Linked DNA regions of Coturnix japonica. The protein of the gene in region 4 purifies or fractionates together with the protein of the main gene of each other region. This does not show direct contact. Links are inferred from orthologs where the notes say so. Each region holds a gene or a part of one and is shown on either strand. Other genes may lie near its edges.

Region 1 (4,170 bases), on a different chromosome or scaffold from region 4:
TTCATCAGAAGGAGCCAACTGCTTCATGCAATTAAAAACTGAGAGCAACGAACCACTCAAAGGATGCTCAAGCCAGGGATATTCCAGAAGGAACCTGGCTAGATGCTGCCTTCCTCTGCACATTACATCCTCCCACAGAAGTTATGACCAGCCTTGCTGCCGTTCCTCTCCATGACCTTGTTACTTGACTTGTCTTCCAAGCATAAAGACCATGCTAAATTCAGATGCTTTTTAATGGATCACAGGATAATTCAGGCCAGGAGGGACCTCAGGAAGTCTCCAGTCCACCCTCTGGCTCCAAGCTGGATCATCTGAGATCAGATTGGGTTGCTCAGGGATTTGTCTAGCTGGACCATAAAAATCTCCAATAATGGAAACTGCACAGCCACCCTGGGCAGCCTGTGCTGCTGCCTGGCTGTTCTCATGTTGAAAACGTATCTCCTTTCAACCTTTTTGAACTTCTCTCATTTCCACTTTTGCCCTCTGTCTCTTATCCTTCTACTACAAACACTTAGGAGGAGGCAGGATTGCATCATAGAATCATAAAGGTTGGAAAAGACCACTAAGATCATCAAGTCTGATCACCAACCCATTACCATCACTCCCAGTCAGTTCTACTCTTTCAGCCCTTGTAGCTTTGATATTTACCTGCTTATGCAAGCTATACTTTTGTCTTTGATTTAGATTAACAGACTTCAACTTTGCCAAAAATCTAAATACGACATAGAACTAGAGTGAAAAATTAAACTAAGCACAGAATCTGTGGTGGAAATGCTCATCCATGTAATCACACCAGTCTTCCTCTGATATGCACTGGTAATGGCAACGTTCAATTACAGCCCTTCCAAACACCAAAACAGCATCTCTTCACATGGGTGCAGCACAAGAGTCAGGTGTACACATACACTACAAAACAGCTTGAAAGGCAAGCGAGATGCACACTGAAGCAAAACTACAAGGAATGCACTCCAGTAGTTTTCAGACTTAAAGAGCTTTCTGTAGTACATACAGTCAAGATAAATATGCATTATTTACATTCCTGTGTACAAGAGCTATTACTGTCTCAGGCTGATCAAGGCTTCTTAGCACATCAAAGAGTGGCAATCTGAAGCAGCATGCTCACAGATCTCACTGCTGCAGCCACAGAATTACCTTGTACCAGTTAAGCAGAAGGCTTCCTAACCGCACTCCTAGCTACACTGCTGAGGAGTCAAAGATGCCTAAAAGCAACCAAGGAACGAGAGAATTGCAGCAGTGCAACATATGTTCATCCTGTCTGAAAGGTCACACAAAACATGATTAGCGCCATTATCCTCCGGGACTCTGAATATGAATATTGCCTTGAGACCAGGGCTTTCCAGCATGAGCTACAGATCAATAAGAAGGATTATACAGCAATACTCTGGAAATGCTCACAAGTAGAATATCAGTTTTTATCTCAGATTTCTCCAAAGCTGTACCTGAGAAGACAGTCTTATGCTCTAGTTCCATCTTCCAATCTCAGGCTCTTTGCACCCGTACAACACACTGGTGTGGCAGAGCACATACACTCAGAGGACTCAAAAAGAAAACCAAGAGCGTGCAGAAGCTCAACTCAGCTGCAACCTGATGGCGAGCAGCCCACACCCTGCCCCATGCTCACTCCCGCACCTCACTCAGAACAGGGCCACCACAATACAAGACCATACACGGCTTCTCAGCTTCCTCACTCAGACTTAAGCCTGTGTTTAAATAAAGCCATCCCCACACAGGTGAAAGGTGAGGCAAGTTGTTTTCCTTGATTGAATCCTTTAGTAGTAACAAGTCACTCCTACAACCTGTAAGTAGCTCAGAGATAAACCCCAAGGCTTCTAAGCTGCCAACCACCCCCAGCCAGCTCTCGAAGGCAGCTTTCCTCTCATGGACAGTGCTGGCTGAACTCAGACATTTCCAGCTGCCTTTCTGGTGGAGATCTTAGAGCTGATGCATTTGCAGCAAATGTTTTCCCTGCAGCTGCCTAGTCATCTTCAACTGAAAGACCCAAACACCAGAATCTCATCCTCAGGGAGCAACAGTGGTTCCCCACATGATCTGCATTCAAGTAAAGAACGTGATCCTGACAGAGCTCTTTTTCACATATCTGAGTGGAGACTACTTGGGATGGAAATCTTATTCCATAGGAAATTCTGATCCAATATTTAATGCAGATGAATCCTCAGCACACCACCTATAAAAGTTTACACTGCAGGCAACACCAGAGTAAGGACAGTACAATGGACTGCACAGTATTTTTCTGAAAAGCCAGCCAATGAATTCATACTTTTCTATCTGAATTATTTACAGAAACAATTGAATAAGCCAGGAAAGAAGAATTAAAATGTTCTAAGCCACTGCTTCACAAAGTCATTTTATGGTTATCATATGAAGTGACACTATTTCAAATTAATTTGCTGCACGTTAATTCCTTCACCTTTGCCAACAATAAAACAAAATTAGAAATATATATATATATATATATATATATAAATCCACCAAAGAACATGTTGCAATTCAGTAAGCTTTGCCTGTTGCTTCCACACAACCAACATCCCCAAAACAGATCAAGCTTTCATCAAGCCTAGCTGGCAATAAATAGCATTGTTCTTCCTTCCCTCAAGCAAACACTCTTTTTTTCTCTCCAGAAAATTCAAGTTAAACTTATTTTGCAGACTCACCAAAGTTGTCCACATCCCAGGAGGCAGTACCGTGTCAGTCATCGAGTCCATGGTTGTCGCATGGCCGTAGCAATCAGCAGGAAAATGAAAGGGAAAAAGAAGAAAAAAGAGAACACTTGGGATTAAATGAAAAACACTACACTACAGCTTTATGTAAAGGTTGCATGGGATTAAATGGACTGAACACCCCCCAGATTGCAATATATTCTAAGAAGGAAGAAAACAGGCACCGTAGAAATAGCGCAATGATAAAACAACAATTACAGTTTATCAATTATCTCTCAAGGCTGGCATCACTTTGAGATTAAAACAACTCTTCTACTGCACATTTTTTCTCCCTCATCAGACAGCAATAAGCAGACAACATCAGATATGAGATAAGGTATGCTATAATCTGATGCTGCAGATAATTTTAAATCCTTGACAATTAGATGTAAGATTTATTGGCAGGAAGAACAGTCAGAAGTGACCCACACCACAGTGACTGACAATATCCTCAGGGAAGAGGGGACTGATAATTTATTCCCTACAATTAAGTGACTTGAAACCTATTCTACAGCTGTGTATCTTTGCTCAGCTATATATCTGTAAACCATCAAGAACACCCAAGCTGAAATGACCACAATCAGCATCAGCTCTTTCCTACTAACAAAAATCCAAAGAACAAATGTTACAGTTTTCCCAGGCTCAGAATTGATTTCCTTTGGTAACAGCTCCAAAACATTCAACCAGGTTAGTTTACTGTTATTATTACTACTGCTATTATCTCAGAGAGGGACTGCTTTGAAGACAACTTTATAAAATCCCTACTGCTGTAGGTTTACCTAAGCGAATTGCCCATACATGTGTAAGAGAACCAAAATGTGTGTTCTTCTTTGGAATGGAGAAATTGATTGCGTCTGCAAGTTCAGGAGGAGCAAAAGGTCCCAGGGCAGTTGATAGCGAAGGCACTGAAGCCTGCAGCACAGAGGAGGACACTGGGAAGAAAATCCCTGCAACTTTATCAGCATCAGGTTTTGGCTGTCATGCAGATAGTACCAAGGCTGACAAAATGCCAAGGAATGCAACAGTCTTCACAAATCTCTCACAACAGATTGGGAAATCTTCCCATCTGAAAGGCTTGGGCCATCCACACTCTTCAAGCAATCCATCCTCAGGAATACATGTACATACACAACTCGAAGGTTTTCTGAAGTGGTCACGGCAACATTTTGACCTCCTGAAGCCCCAGGCAGGCTATGAAGGCAGTGAGCCTCTTGTACTGATCCTAAGATGGTTTCTTTTTTATCACTGCAGAAATCATGTTATATGAAGGAAAAAATCTCAGTTAGTATCAAAAAGGGAAATACAATTGGCACAGACAACTCATTTGCAGCCTCCTACTGATAATGGTTGATGAGCTACCTCCTCCTCTGCTTCCACAGCCCATTAGTAAGACAGCAAGGAAGACTGCAGAAGGATGCTGACTGCTCATGTA
Region 2 (2,281 bases), on a different chromosome or scaffold from region 4:
TTCACTGGGGCTGTTTCTCTTGCTGATTTCTCACTAATTATTTATGTACCAAAGGGAAGATGAAAATACTCCTTAAACTGGGGAACGTTGTCCTAACAAACAAGTAATTAGGAAGTGTTCAAACCCATATATTCATAGCAGCATTGCTTCATTGCTTCATGGCTGATTGCTCTGTTTTCCAGGTTCAGAAGCCGTTCTCATCGAGACTTTGTCAAAGGTTTATCATGGTCTCCTTCAGACAATGCCTTGCTCACTACAATTGGATGGGATCATCAGGTTTTACATCACACTGTCCCCATACCAACTGGTGAAGCTTCCGGAATCAACTGTGTAAAAGAATAGTTTTATAAACTCATTGGTCTAAATTCCTTCCTGGCATTACTTTGGTTCTCCTGAAGTCGACGATGTTTGTGAACTGGAGTGGTTATGGATTATTGTCTGCCTTGAACCTTGTGACTAAGAAGGTTCCTGTAGTAGTTTTGAGTTAAGCATAAATTAGTTGCAAACCAGACTGTACCACCTCCTCAGGAGTTGGATTCACCTGTGAAAAGACTGCAGTTTTTTATCCTGGAAAAAGAAATAGTGGCTTCAGCCACAGAGGAGCCTTGAACAGGGAATTAGGTATAATAAAATGAAAGACTTGTTTCTTCAAACCACTCACAGAATGAATAGAAACAGATTATTTGGGGAGGTAAAAAGGAACCACCTTTACTGAGGTAGATGCAAAAGCCTCACCTGAGCAAAGTGTTCACTGTTGAAATACTTCCTTCCAATGGGGCAGGAAAACGTGTTGGAATTTTAAGGGTAGAAGAGTTTCCTTGTTGTCTGTAGTGCCACAGTCAGTGTAGGTTGGTTTTTTGCATCTTCTATTGCAAATAATCCCACTGTGAGCACTGTATGTGCACTTCTGCTCCACTGGTGGGTATCAGTACCAGTGCTTGGTGTGATACGTCACATATGCTGTATGATAAGGATCTCAGCTGCAGTCATTAAACATCTTTGTGATGGTGCATGACATGCTGAAATACCAGGACCTGTAATGCTCAGCATTGCTTGGAGCTGAGAGCAGCTCAGAGGCTTTTCTGCAGCATGCTGAAAGCTGAGAGAAGTTCACTTGACACCACATTTCAGCTTCTCTGTGCTGAATGCAACTTACAGAATAAGGTTTGTGAACAGAAGTTCGTATAAGGGGAAAAACTGGACTAAGGACTTGAGTCTTCATTTTGCTGCTCCTGTTATCAGACTGCTTAGTGATAAATAAGGCTCCTGATACACATTCAATGAGTGACTGAGAAGATCAAGCAATTTCCATAATCCCCTCAAAGACTTCACGTAATCCTTAGAGGTTGGGTTTTGTTCTTTGGGTATATTTTTTGGGGGGTAATATAACGTACAACTCAAACCAAACTGTTTCCTTTCAACATATTTAACTGACAATAAACGGCATTGCTCTGCATACATGGCTGCTGCTCCAGGTGTGGCTTTCCTAGAGACAACAGTGGGTTTTAGCGAATGAAACAGAAACTACTGTTAAAAACAAATGCTACATTGCCCTTACTGTGATAGCAATGCTACACTGTAAACATCTACAATCATTTTTCAGAGCAAAATTCCCCATCTAGAGCATTGTAATCACAAAGAACAAGTTTCCTCCATGCTGCCCCTTGGAAGAGTTCAAGGCAAAAGGTTGTGTATTACAGTGCAGCTTGTGAACAAGATGTCTTTGCAAAGGATGGAAGATGGTTTTTAAATAAATCACAGTTTTCATTTACAACTGGCTCTTCAGTTTCACCTGGCTTCCTGTGCAACGCCAAGAGCCAGCTGAGGTCACGGCCCTGGAGTTACAACTGTGCTTAAATAAACTCACCGCATGCAATGCAAGCAGGGACAAGTTTCAAATAGGAAGTTTTAAACCACCTAAGTTCCTCAGCTAACCGTGCTGCAGAGCTCTGCAATCCATGGCAAAAAGTGATATAGTGGTGGAAGATGAGGATCATGTGGAGAAAAGGTCACTTGGTATTTCATTCCTGTTCTTGTACAGCTGATTAAAGACTTGGCATAGTAGCACATACTGGGCTTCAGCATCCTGCAAGCCTTTGGGTAAAGCTCTGTGTTCCACCGCAGGAGGGCAGCAGCATGACAGCAGAGGTTTGCATGCATTAAAGACCATCTACCCTTTTTACTGCTTGTTTTTTTTTCCCCCTACCATCATAAATAAGCACAGAAGTGCATCACTTTATTTAGTAGCTGCTACTGTGTTAGCTTACCAAGGCTATAAGCA
Region 3 (4,306 bases), on a different chromosome or scaffold from region 4:
ACAAATCAGTGTTATAAAGTTATTAAATTACAGATGATATGCGGATTTATTAAGTTTTATTCATTACACCCGACTTCCTTTTTTTGTTCTTTAGGGGAGGGAAGAGCATGGCAGATGTAAAAGCAAAAAGGATGAGTAAGCAAACACATTTTCAAAGGACAGCTACCTTTTAAAGTCAATAAAATCTCTTACTAAAGCTTTTAGCTATTTGATGACGTATCTACCTGACATACAGCAGAATTCTGTTACTGAGATCAGTTTACCTTTTGCATTTTTTTGAATGAAGAGGCTCTCATGTTCTCAGACAGCTTCACTGAAAAATACTGTTGGCTTCTTTAAGGAACGCACCACGAATAAAAGGTTAGAAGTAGCACTTTTGATTATTGCATAGCAGAACTTAGATGCTTCAGACATTTTCTAAATTCAGGTTATTAATGAAGCTAAACATCATCGCTTCAACAAAATTACAACTTAATGATCAGGAATAACTGTTTCTAATCTTCCTCACAGTTACAAAGACAGCCTTTTGTAGAAGCATTACTTTCTCCTTCCCATGGATTAAGGCATGAGGAACATACCAGCAGAAAATACATAAAATATAAACATAAAGAAACAAACTTGTTTGACAAGTGACCGTCTCTCAGATTTATCCAGAACAATACGGATGCTGCAGTGACTTTGCTATGACTGTCCTGGCTTGTACAGCTGCCTGGATGAAGAAAGAGATGAGCCAGCAAGGGCTGCTCAGCCCAACCACATCATTTGTTTCATCCTACAGTGATATGGTGGATGTTCTCTGTAACTCCAAAGACAAACTACTATGGATCCCGTGGTTCTCAAGTGTGCAAGAATGGTTGTTTGTGAGCTGCTGGCTGACTTTTCAATAGCACTCAAGATTAAACGGGGAGCTAAGGAACAGCAAAGTACAGCTGAGCTCCCTTTACATTTCTTGGTATGTTATTATAAGAAAAAAAGTTTCTGAACTTCAAGTAATTCTGGTACAAAAAGTAAATCTACAAATTAATACATTCAGAGCAGAAGGATGTTCTGAACCTGTCCTAAGCAAATAAAGTAGGACAAAGAAATTGTTTTCTAATTTTGGAGCAAACCGACTAAAGAAACCAATTTGTGAAGGATACAAAGTCTCGTAGCTGCCCAAAAATTTCATCCACTTTGCCGATCTGTTCTTTATTATCCAAGTACACCGGTGCATTGAAATAAGGCACTTTGTTTTCTTCTGTTTTACATTTACAAACAAGATCATCTTCACAGGGATGCATGAACTCTCCCAGTACTGAAATAAAGAACAAACAAGCTGAAGATCTTCAACACTCACTGCAAGTTAAATAAAAGCAGCCTCCACATGTAACTTACAAACTACCCTCTCCGGAGGGCCCTGGTCATATCCGCCTCTGTTGAAGCCTCCCCGTCCACCTCCCCGTCCAAAGCCACCTCGTCCACCACGATTAAAGCCGCCTCTGTCACCGCCGCTTCCTCCACGATTAAAGCCGCCTCCACCTCTTCCGCCACCTCCTCGTCCTCCACCACCTCCTCCTCCTCTTCCACGGAAGGACATTCTCTACTGCCTCCTACAGCATAGACAAAAATAGGTTGTTTAATAAGTACATATTTGTTGTCTACCACGCTGTCCGAATCAACGTCTCCTGATGGTCCTGTTTAATCACAGAATCACAGAATTGTAAGGGTTGGAAGGGACCTCTAGAGATCATCGAGTCCAACCCCCCTGCCAAAGCAGGCTCCCTACACCACATCACACAGGTAGGCGTCCAGGCGGGTCTTGAATGTCTCCAGAGAAGGAGACTCCACCACCTCCCTGGGCAGCCTGTTCCAGTGCTCCGTCACCCTCACTGTAAAGAAGTTCTTCCATACATTCATGTGGAACTTCCTATGCTGTACTTTCATCCCATTACCCCTAGTCCTGTCCCCACACACTACTGAAAAGAGACGAGACTCACCACTATGGCCCCCACACCTCAGGTATTTATAAACCTGGATCAAGTCCTCTCTCAGCCTTCTTTTCTCAAGGGTCAACAGACCCAGTTCCCTAAGTCTCTCCTCATGGGGGAGATGCTCCAGGCCCTTCACCATCTTTGTGGCCCTCTGCTGGACTCTTTCCAAGAGATCCCTGTCTTTTTTGTACTGGGGAGCCCAGAACTGGACACAATATTCTAGATGAGGCCTCACCAGGGAAAGTAGAGGGAGAGGATCACCTCCTTCGACCTGCTGGACACGCTCTTTTTAACACACCCCAGTATGCCATTGGCTTTTTTGGCTACAAGGGCACACTGCTGGCTCATGGCCAACCTGTCGTCCACCAGGACGCCCAGGTCCCGGGTTAGTGGTTACGCACCTCGGCTGGGACCGAAAATGTGCAGGCGAGCCAGAATCAAGTTTCCCCATTAAACTAAATGACCTCAAAACGCTTTTCCAACCTTAGCGATTCTGCGGTAATGCCCATCCATCAAGAGGGACCGGCCATATCGGGGTTGAGCATCACGCTGCACAGTCCCAGCCCCACGGAGTGGCTCCGGGCGGCCAGCTTCCCACGGGGCGGCCTCCCTGGACGCGGCACCGAGCCCTGAAGGAGACCACCAGCTCTAATGGCCCTAACGACAGCTCACACACACCCCAACCCGCACCACGAGCCCCAACCCCTCACACGTGCATACCCAGCTTCCATGCGAGTGCTGTCGCCGCCTGATTATGTCATCATTACACGCCGGAAAGACGCCGGCATGCCGTAAAGGAGAAACGGGCTCGGCGGCACTGTCGCACCCTTAAGTCTGCCTGCCTGCACGGACACATATCGCACCTAAGAAAGCACCTCCCCTGACAGCACCCTGACAGCAGAGCTGGTTAATGGCTCCGCCACTCGGTCGGTCTGCTTTGGCAGCGGGCGGGGAGCGAGAGACCCCGCCGAGCACTCCCTTGTAATCGCTGACTTCAATGGCTTTCCTTTGGTTCTCTGTTTACAGTCAAACAGCTGAAATGGGGTGGGATCCGACTCATCCCTTAACATCTAAGGCTCCCGTAGTGGTTTCTGAGGCCAAACTGTTTTACCAATGGTTAAAAATTAAACACAAACCTAACAACTGGAGATTGGGACAAATCCCGGCCAGGGGGATTTCTCTACAAAGAGATAAAACTTCATCATGAGGGTGGTTGCGGTTTTCTTGGTTTCCTTCTCTCTCTTTTCTTTCTGTCGAGCACAGGTAAGAACTTCTTTTATTGTGGAACCCCCCTATTTTAAAAATAAACCAACAGAAAAACAGCAAACAGTTGATTATTATAAAAAGATATATCTATATTTCTATACATATATATCTATAATTTCCTGTTGTAGTATTTGCATTTCATCCATTTGTTTTAGTCCAGTTTGAAAATGTGAATCTCTTCCGTGTATTGGTTCTGTATGAGGTTTACATGAACAGGCTTCTGGAAGATCTTTTAATCAGGATCCTATGCTAAACCTGACTTGCAAGTGTGGCTCAGCTCAGAAAGCTTCTGTTGTGAACTCTCTTCTGGCAAAAGCCTCTCAGGATATCCTGATGGGCTCCATGTTCAGCATACCCTGAACCTTCCAGAAAAGCCCATAGACAAAGATCAGCACCTTCTGTTGCTATTCAGGCAGAACTAAGGAGAAGCATCTAGTGCTATACGGGAGTTATGCCAAGCCGGGCCTGGCTCAGAGTTTGGTATGTAAATTTAAAGATAATGCATAGGATTCTAGTGACCTGAGAAGAACAGGAAGAATTTATTAAGATTATACAGCCCTTAAAAGGGTGGGAGGGGCTCGGATTAAATTCTGCCTCGGCAACATTCCCACTGCCTTTACTTAGGCCAGGATTTCTTCATGAGAACTTTAAACTTTGGCTCTGTTGATTCAGTGGATGCACTCAAAGCCAATAAATCCCATCTGACAACTGACATTTCTTATTCATCTCTATGCAAAGTCTAGTTACATATTTTTCACATTTCAACATTCCCCCTACCCAGAGCTCTTAGTAAGCAAAAGGACTCGGCCAGTAGTGGCATAACCAGTGAGCTGCAGGGATAGTTGTTATTACTCATCTAGAGACAGATGCTCAGATGGAGAGATCAGGAACACTCCTTGCAGCCCATAACAACCAGAAACCACACTGCAAACCCACTGCCATTCAAGATATGAGAACAAAATGGACTGGGAGGGGCATTTAGTTTTCACATTTGTTGAAGATACTTGTTACTTGCAATTAAACAAATCGTTAATTTTAGATTTGTTCCTATGTAGTTACTGGCTATAGTT
Region 4 (4,085 bases):
TGAAAACATGGCTTCCACTGTACGAACAAAACAGAATCATCTCAGCAAGCAGCCCAAAGGAAAGACACCAGGAGTTATCTTTCAGTTGGCAGCTGTGAAGTGCAAGTGCTCAGTAGGGCTGGCGCCTCTCAGCTGGCGAGCAGGGAACCTGCAGTTCCACCCAGCAGCTGGAAGCACAGCTGGACTTCCAGGAACCACACCTGCAAAATCAGGCTCCCTCCTCAGCTAGGAAGTGGCAACTTCAGCTAAGATGCTGTTAGAAGCAGCTTTTGCACTGTATTTTAATAGTTGCTCTACTTGCAAGGGTTGAAAATCAGAAGTCTGATCTGACATTAGGGCTTGGCACACTTCAAGGTTAGGAAGTCACAACAGGTGGCAACCAGATGTGGCATGACCAGACTCTCCAGATTAACATCAGATTTAATCCAACCTAGTTCTCCACGCATGCTTCCATCATGTCACTGATGACAAAGGTTCAACAGAGGCAACAGCAGCAACTCAGTCAGTGGTTACCCACCTCAGGAGTCCTTGCAGTATCTAATGTGTCAGATGCTTAGAAATTGGATCCAACTGGAAGCTCCCCACAAGACAGGGTATGATTGTTTTCCAGTGGTAGCATCTGAACATTAGCATGTTCCTAATTAAATGCTAAGAAGACACTGAAGGCCTGTGCCATTCACATCAGGTACAGCACCCCTTCCCCATCACTTACAGGCTGATTTGTCGCTAGGCACAAATCTGAACTCTGCAATTGGTTCGATGTCATCATCGCTGTCTTCCTCCTCCCCTTCAGCCATGGGGGCCTCCTTTGTCTCCTCCTCTTCAGGAAATTCAGATTAAAAGAGAAAAATGATTATTTTATCCAAAAAAAGAGACAGCTTTAGCACCTTTAGAACCATAAGCAAATCAGAAACCCGGACAGAGCCTGCAACAAACAAACCTGCTCCCATCCATCTGCAGACACACAGGGTCCTCTCACAGCACCCTGGAGAAGCTTGCAATGCACACAAGAACTCTGCTTTCAATTTGAGGAGCCAAGTTTTCTATAGCATTCATGTAATCCACAATCCTTACTGCTTAACCGCAGAGCGGTTGAGCTACGTATACAATCGTTAACTTAAGAATCTTAGGTATTAGGGATCCCTTGCACTGCTGCCCTGAGATCAGCCAGTTTCCAGTCTGGCCTCCCACATAGGACTGACGTTGACAGGAGGCCATACTCAATTTCTTGTGTTCTTAGCAAACCACTAAAGCAATGAAGCAAAAAGTCTCCCCACAGCCCATGTCAGCTGCGGGTAAAACTTTGCTTCCTGACTACTGTGTACCACATAATTGAATAAGTGAGCAAGAACACGATGTTCTACTTCCGTAAAAACAAAATCCACGCAGGATACAGCTTACAGCTCATCCCTTTGTGGCTGGGGAGGTTGAACTGACAGCTTCAAAACTGCATGGTTACTTTCTACAGCAAAAGAGGACTAGAGTAAAGCTGTATTCACAAAGAGTGGCTTTTATTATGAACAGAACTGGCAACGAGAAGAACACGAAGATGCCAAGAAGCTGCCAGCCAAACAATGATACATCCAAGGAATTCACCCAGTCCCTTTGGAATTGACCTCCCCATGCTCAGTTTGCTGCTGCTGCTACATCCAGCTCTTTGTTTTCAACCAAGTCAACCCCTGCCTGCCTTCCTCTAAAGAAGGCTGAAAATGAGGCAAATATACACACAGAGCACTACTAAAACATCCAAAGAAGAACAAGATGTACTGTGCCCAACTGAAAATCAAGACTCCTGCAGCCAGCAAAGCAGTGATGTTTCCATATAACACTGTTTTAAACAGTTAAAACCATGGGTCGGTCAGGGACAGACATGAGAGCTGAACACTCAGACTCACCCTTAGCTGGGCACCTACTGTGGCCAGAATTCTTTTATGTCGATCTATCGAGGTTTTGAATTCTTTTATGTCAACTCATTGAGGTTTTATTGACTGGAATTATCACAGGAAAGATTTTCAAGTATCACTGTAACAATTAGAAGCTGGAAATAACATCTTTCTTCAAGGCTTAGCACTCACTGCTCTTCAAATGATACAATACAGCAGAGTTGATGAGACTTAAAAGCATTAAAGGGTCTGGCAGGAGTGGGAATGCTATGAATATCTATTAAGCTCAATAACACGAATCACTGTCTTTTAATGAAACTTCAGCCCTACTGTAATTATCCTTCACGGAGATGAAAAGATACTGCTTGAATTAAGGGTTTAGGCTTTAAAAAGCAAAACTAATTCCCTTTTTGAGGGAGGGATGGTGGGCCTTACCTTCAAACCTGGCGTTCACCATGACATACAGGTGCTCCCAGGGGTACGCGTTCAGGTCCCTGGAGACAGCATGTAAACTTATGGTGGGATAATCCAAGGAGAAGCCAACTCCTGAGTTTTCCAGCCATGACAGGCGGCTAAAAAGGGGGTTAAAGAGAAACACACGTAAGAGAGAAGTTAGAAATTAGTACCTGAACCTGGAGAGAAGCAAATCAAATCCAATCGTTCCCCTCAGCGCACCCCCCGCGGCCTACAGCGCACCCACAGCCCTCATAACCGCCCCCATAGACCCCGCTCACCTCTCTGCTATGTAGAGCGTCCCGGCACCCAGACTGCGGCCCGACAGCACCGCCTCCGTGTCGGGCTGCCGGTGCCGGACACCATCGGCCGGCGGCGGGAACCGCTTCAGGAAACTCATGGCGCAGCCAACACCGCCTCCCCCTCCTCCTCCTCCTCTTCCTCCCTCCCACCGCCGCCGGAAAAGGAAATGGCGGCGTTGTCGGGCCGCTCTGGATCCGACTCTATGGTGCGAAACGACCGTGCATCAGCGCTGCCATCTTGTGGCGGGTAGGGTAGGGTGGGGTAGGGTAGGGTAGAAGGTGTTAATTGGTAGGGTAGGGTGGGGTAGGGTAGGGTAGGGTAGGAGGTGTTAGGGTAGGGTAGGGTTAGGGTGGGGTAGAGTAGGGTAGGTTGTAGGGTAGGGTAGGTTGTAGGGTAGGGTAGAAGGTGTTAATTGGTAGGGTAGGGTAGGTTGTAGGTAGGGTAGAGTTGGGTAGGGTGGGGTGGGATAGGGTAGGTTGTAGGTAGGGTAGAGTTGGGTAGGGTGGGGTGGGGTAGGGTAGGTATTGGTGTTGACGCGGTGAGTTCTGGGTAGGGTGGGGAGGAATAAATTGTTAGTGTTAGATAGGCTAGGCGGGTTTAGCGTCTGAGTAGAGGGTGGGGTGTGTGGTAAAGAGGGTTAGGGGTAGAAGAGGTGTTAAATTTGGTCTTAGTAGGGTAGGCCAGATGGGGCTCAGCGGTACGGCAGGGGGTATGGCGTTTAGGGTCTGGGGAAAGATTAGCGGTAGGGGCTTAGGCATAGGGTACTTAGGGAGTAGGTGACCCAGCGGGTGGGAGTCTGCTCGGTACGGCCTAACGTTGCACGTAGGTCATTTAGTAGGGTAGGAGGGTGGCGTAGGGCTCAGAGGTGGGGGTAGGGTACAGGGTAGAATTTGTGTTCATATTGGCGTAGGGGCTCGGCGTAGGTCTTTTTTGTCTTTGGCCTCTAGGTCTGGGCGTGGTTGCAGGTGGCTGGAGGTGCCCCTAGGGCAGGGCTGTGGCCGGCCATCCCTTGTCCGCTTTCTAGCGCCCGGGAGCTGAGTCGCTCAGGAGGTGACGAGAAGTTAACGGAGTGGGGAAGATAAGGGTAATGGGGAGTAAGAAGGTGTGTAATTGGTGGGGTGCTCACGTGGTGGAGAGAGTAAGAGGAAGGGAAGGGAAGGGAAGGGAAGGGAAGGGAAGGGAAGGGAAGGGAAAGGTGTTAATTGGAAGGGACCTTCAGGTAGGGAAGGGAAGGCAAGGCAAGGTGTTAATTTGGAAGGGACCTTCAAAGATCAGGGTATGGTAGGGAAGGGAAAGGAAGGGAGGGAAGGGAAAGGTGTTAATTGGAAGGGACCTTCAGGAAGGAAAGGGAAGGCAAGGCAAGGTGTTAATTTGGAAGGAACCTTCAGGTAGAGAAGGGAAGGCAAGGCAAGGTGTTAATTTGGAAGGGACCTTCAAAGATCAGGG

Evidence for each region. Proteins that work in one complex are often made in the same cells at the same time.
Region 1: the proteins of CLNS1A (region 4) and EPB41L3 purify together in Homo sapiens (affinity purification with mass spectrometry; 3 studies listed by BioGRID and IntAct, with this or other methods). This does not show direct contact. The link is inferred for Coturnix japonica from reciprocal best matches to the Homo sapiens genes CLNS1A and EPB41L3.
Region 2: the proteins of CLNS1A (region 4) and WDR77 purify together in Homo sapiens (affinity purification with mass spectrometry; 6 studies listed by BioGRID and IntAct, with this or other methods). This does not show direct contact. The link is inferred for Coturnix japonica from reciprocal best matches to the Homo sapiens genes CLNS1A and WDR77.
Region 3: the proteins of CLNS1A (region 4) and GAR1 purify together in Homo sapiens (affinity purification with mass spectrometry; 3 studies listed by BioGRID and IntAct, counting the BioPlex papers as one, with this or other methods). This does not show direct contact. The link is inferred for Coturnix japonica from reciprocal best matches to the Homo sapiens genes CLNS1A and GAR1.

Annotation. Positions count from the first base shown.
Region 1 is NC_029517.1:90,253,732-90,257,901, reverse strand, and holds the start of EPB41L3 (band 4.1-like protein 3), read right to left. Parts: upstream 2,808-4,170; 5' UTR 2,694-2,807; intron 1-2,693. UniProt on the Homo sapiens protein: Tumor suppressor that inhibits cell proliferation and promotes apoptosis. Modulates the activity of protein arginine N-methyltransferases, including PRMT3 and PRMT5.
Region 2 is NC_029541.1:3,354,788-3,357,068, reverse strand, and holds the end of WDR77 (methylosome protein 50), read left to right. Parts: intron 1-182; coding exon 183-342; 3' UTR 343-1,774; downstream 1,775-2,281. UniProt on the Homo sapiens protein: Non-catalytic component of the methylosome complex, composed of PRMT5, WDR77 and CLNS1A, which modifies specific arginines to dimethylarginines in several spliceosomal Sm proteins and histones.
Region 3 is NC_029519.1:52,168,114-52,172,419, forward strand, and holds the start of GAR1 (H/ACA ribonucleoprotein complex subunit 1), read right to left. Parts: upstream 2,808-4,306; 5' UTR 2,691-2,807; intron 2,655-2,690; exon of another isoform or gene 2,454-2,654; intron 1,590-2,453; 5' UTR 1,577-1,589; coding exon 1,375-1,576; intron 1,295-1,374; coding exon 1,140-1,294; intron 324-1,139; coding exon 264-323; intron 1-263. Other genes in the region: CFI (complement factor I), read left to right, coding at 3,174-3,233. UniProt on the Homo sapiens protein: Required for ribosome biogenesis and telomere maintenance. Part of the H/ACA small nucleolar ribonucleoprotein (H/ACA snoRNP) complex, which catalyzes pseudouridylation of rRNA.
Region 4 is NC_029516.1:172,769,556-172,773,640, reverse strand, and holds the start of CLNS1A (methylosome subunit pICln), read right to left. Parts: upstream 2,808-4,085; 5' UTR 2,737-2,807; coding exon 2,618-2,736; intron 2,456-2,617; coding exon 2,319-2,455; intron 821-2,318; coding exon 713-820; intron 18-712; coding exon 1-17. UniProt on the Homo sapiens protein: Involved in both the assembly of spliceosomal snRNPs and the methylation of Sm proteins.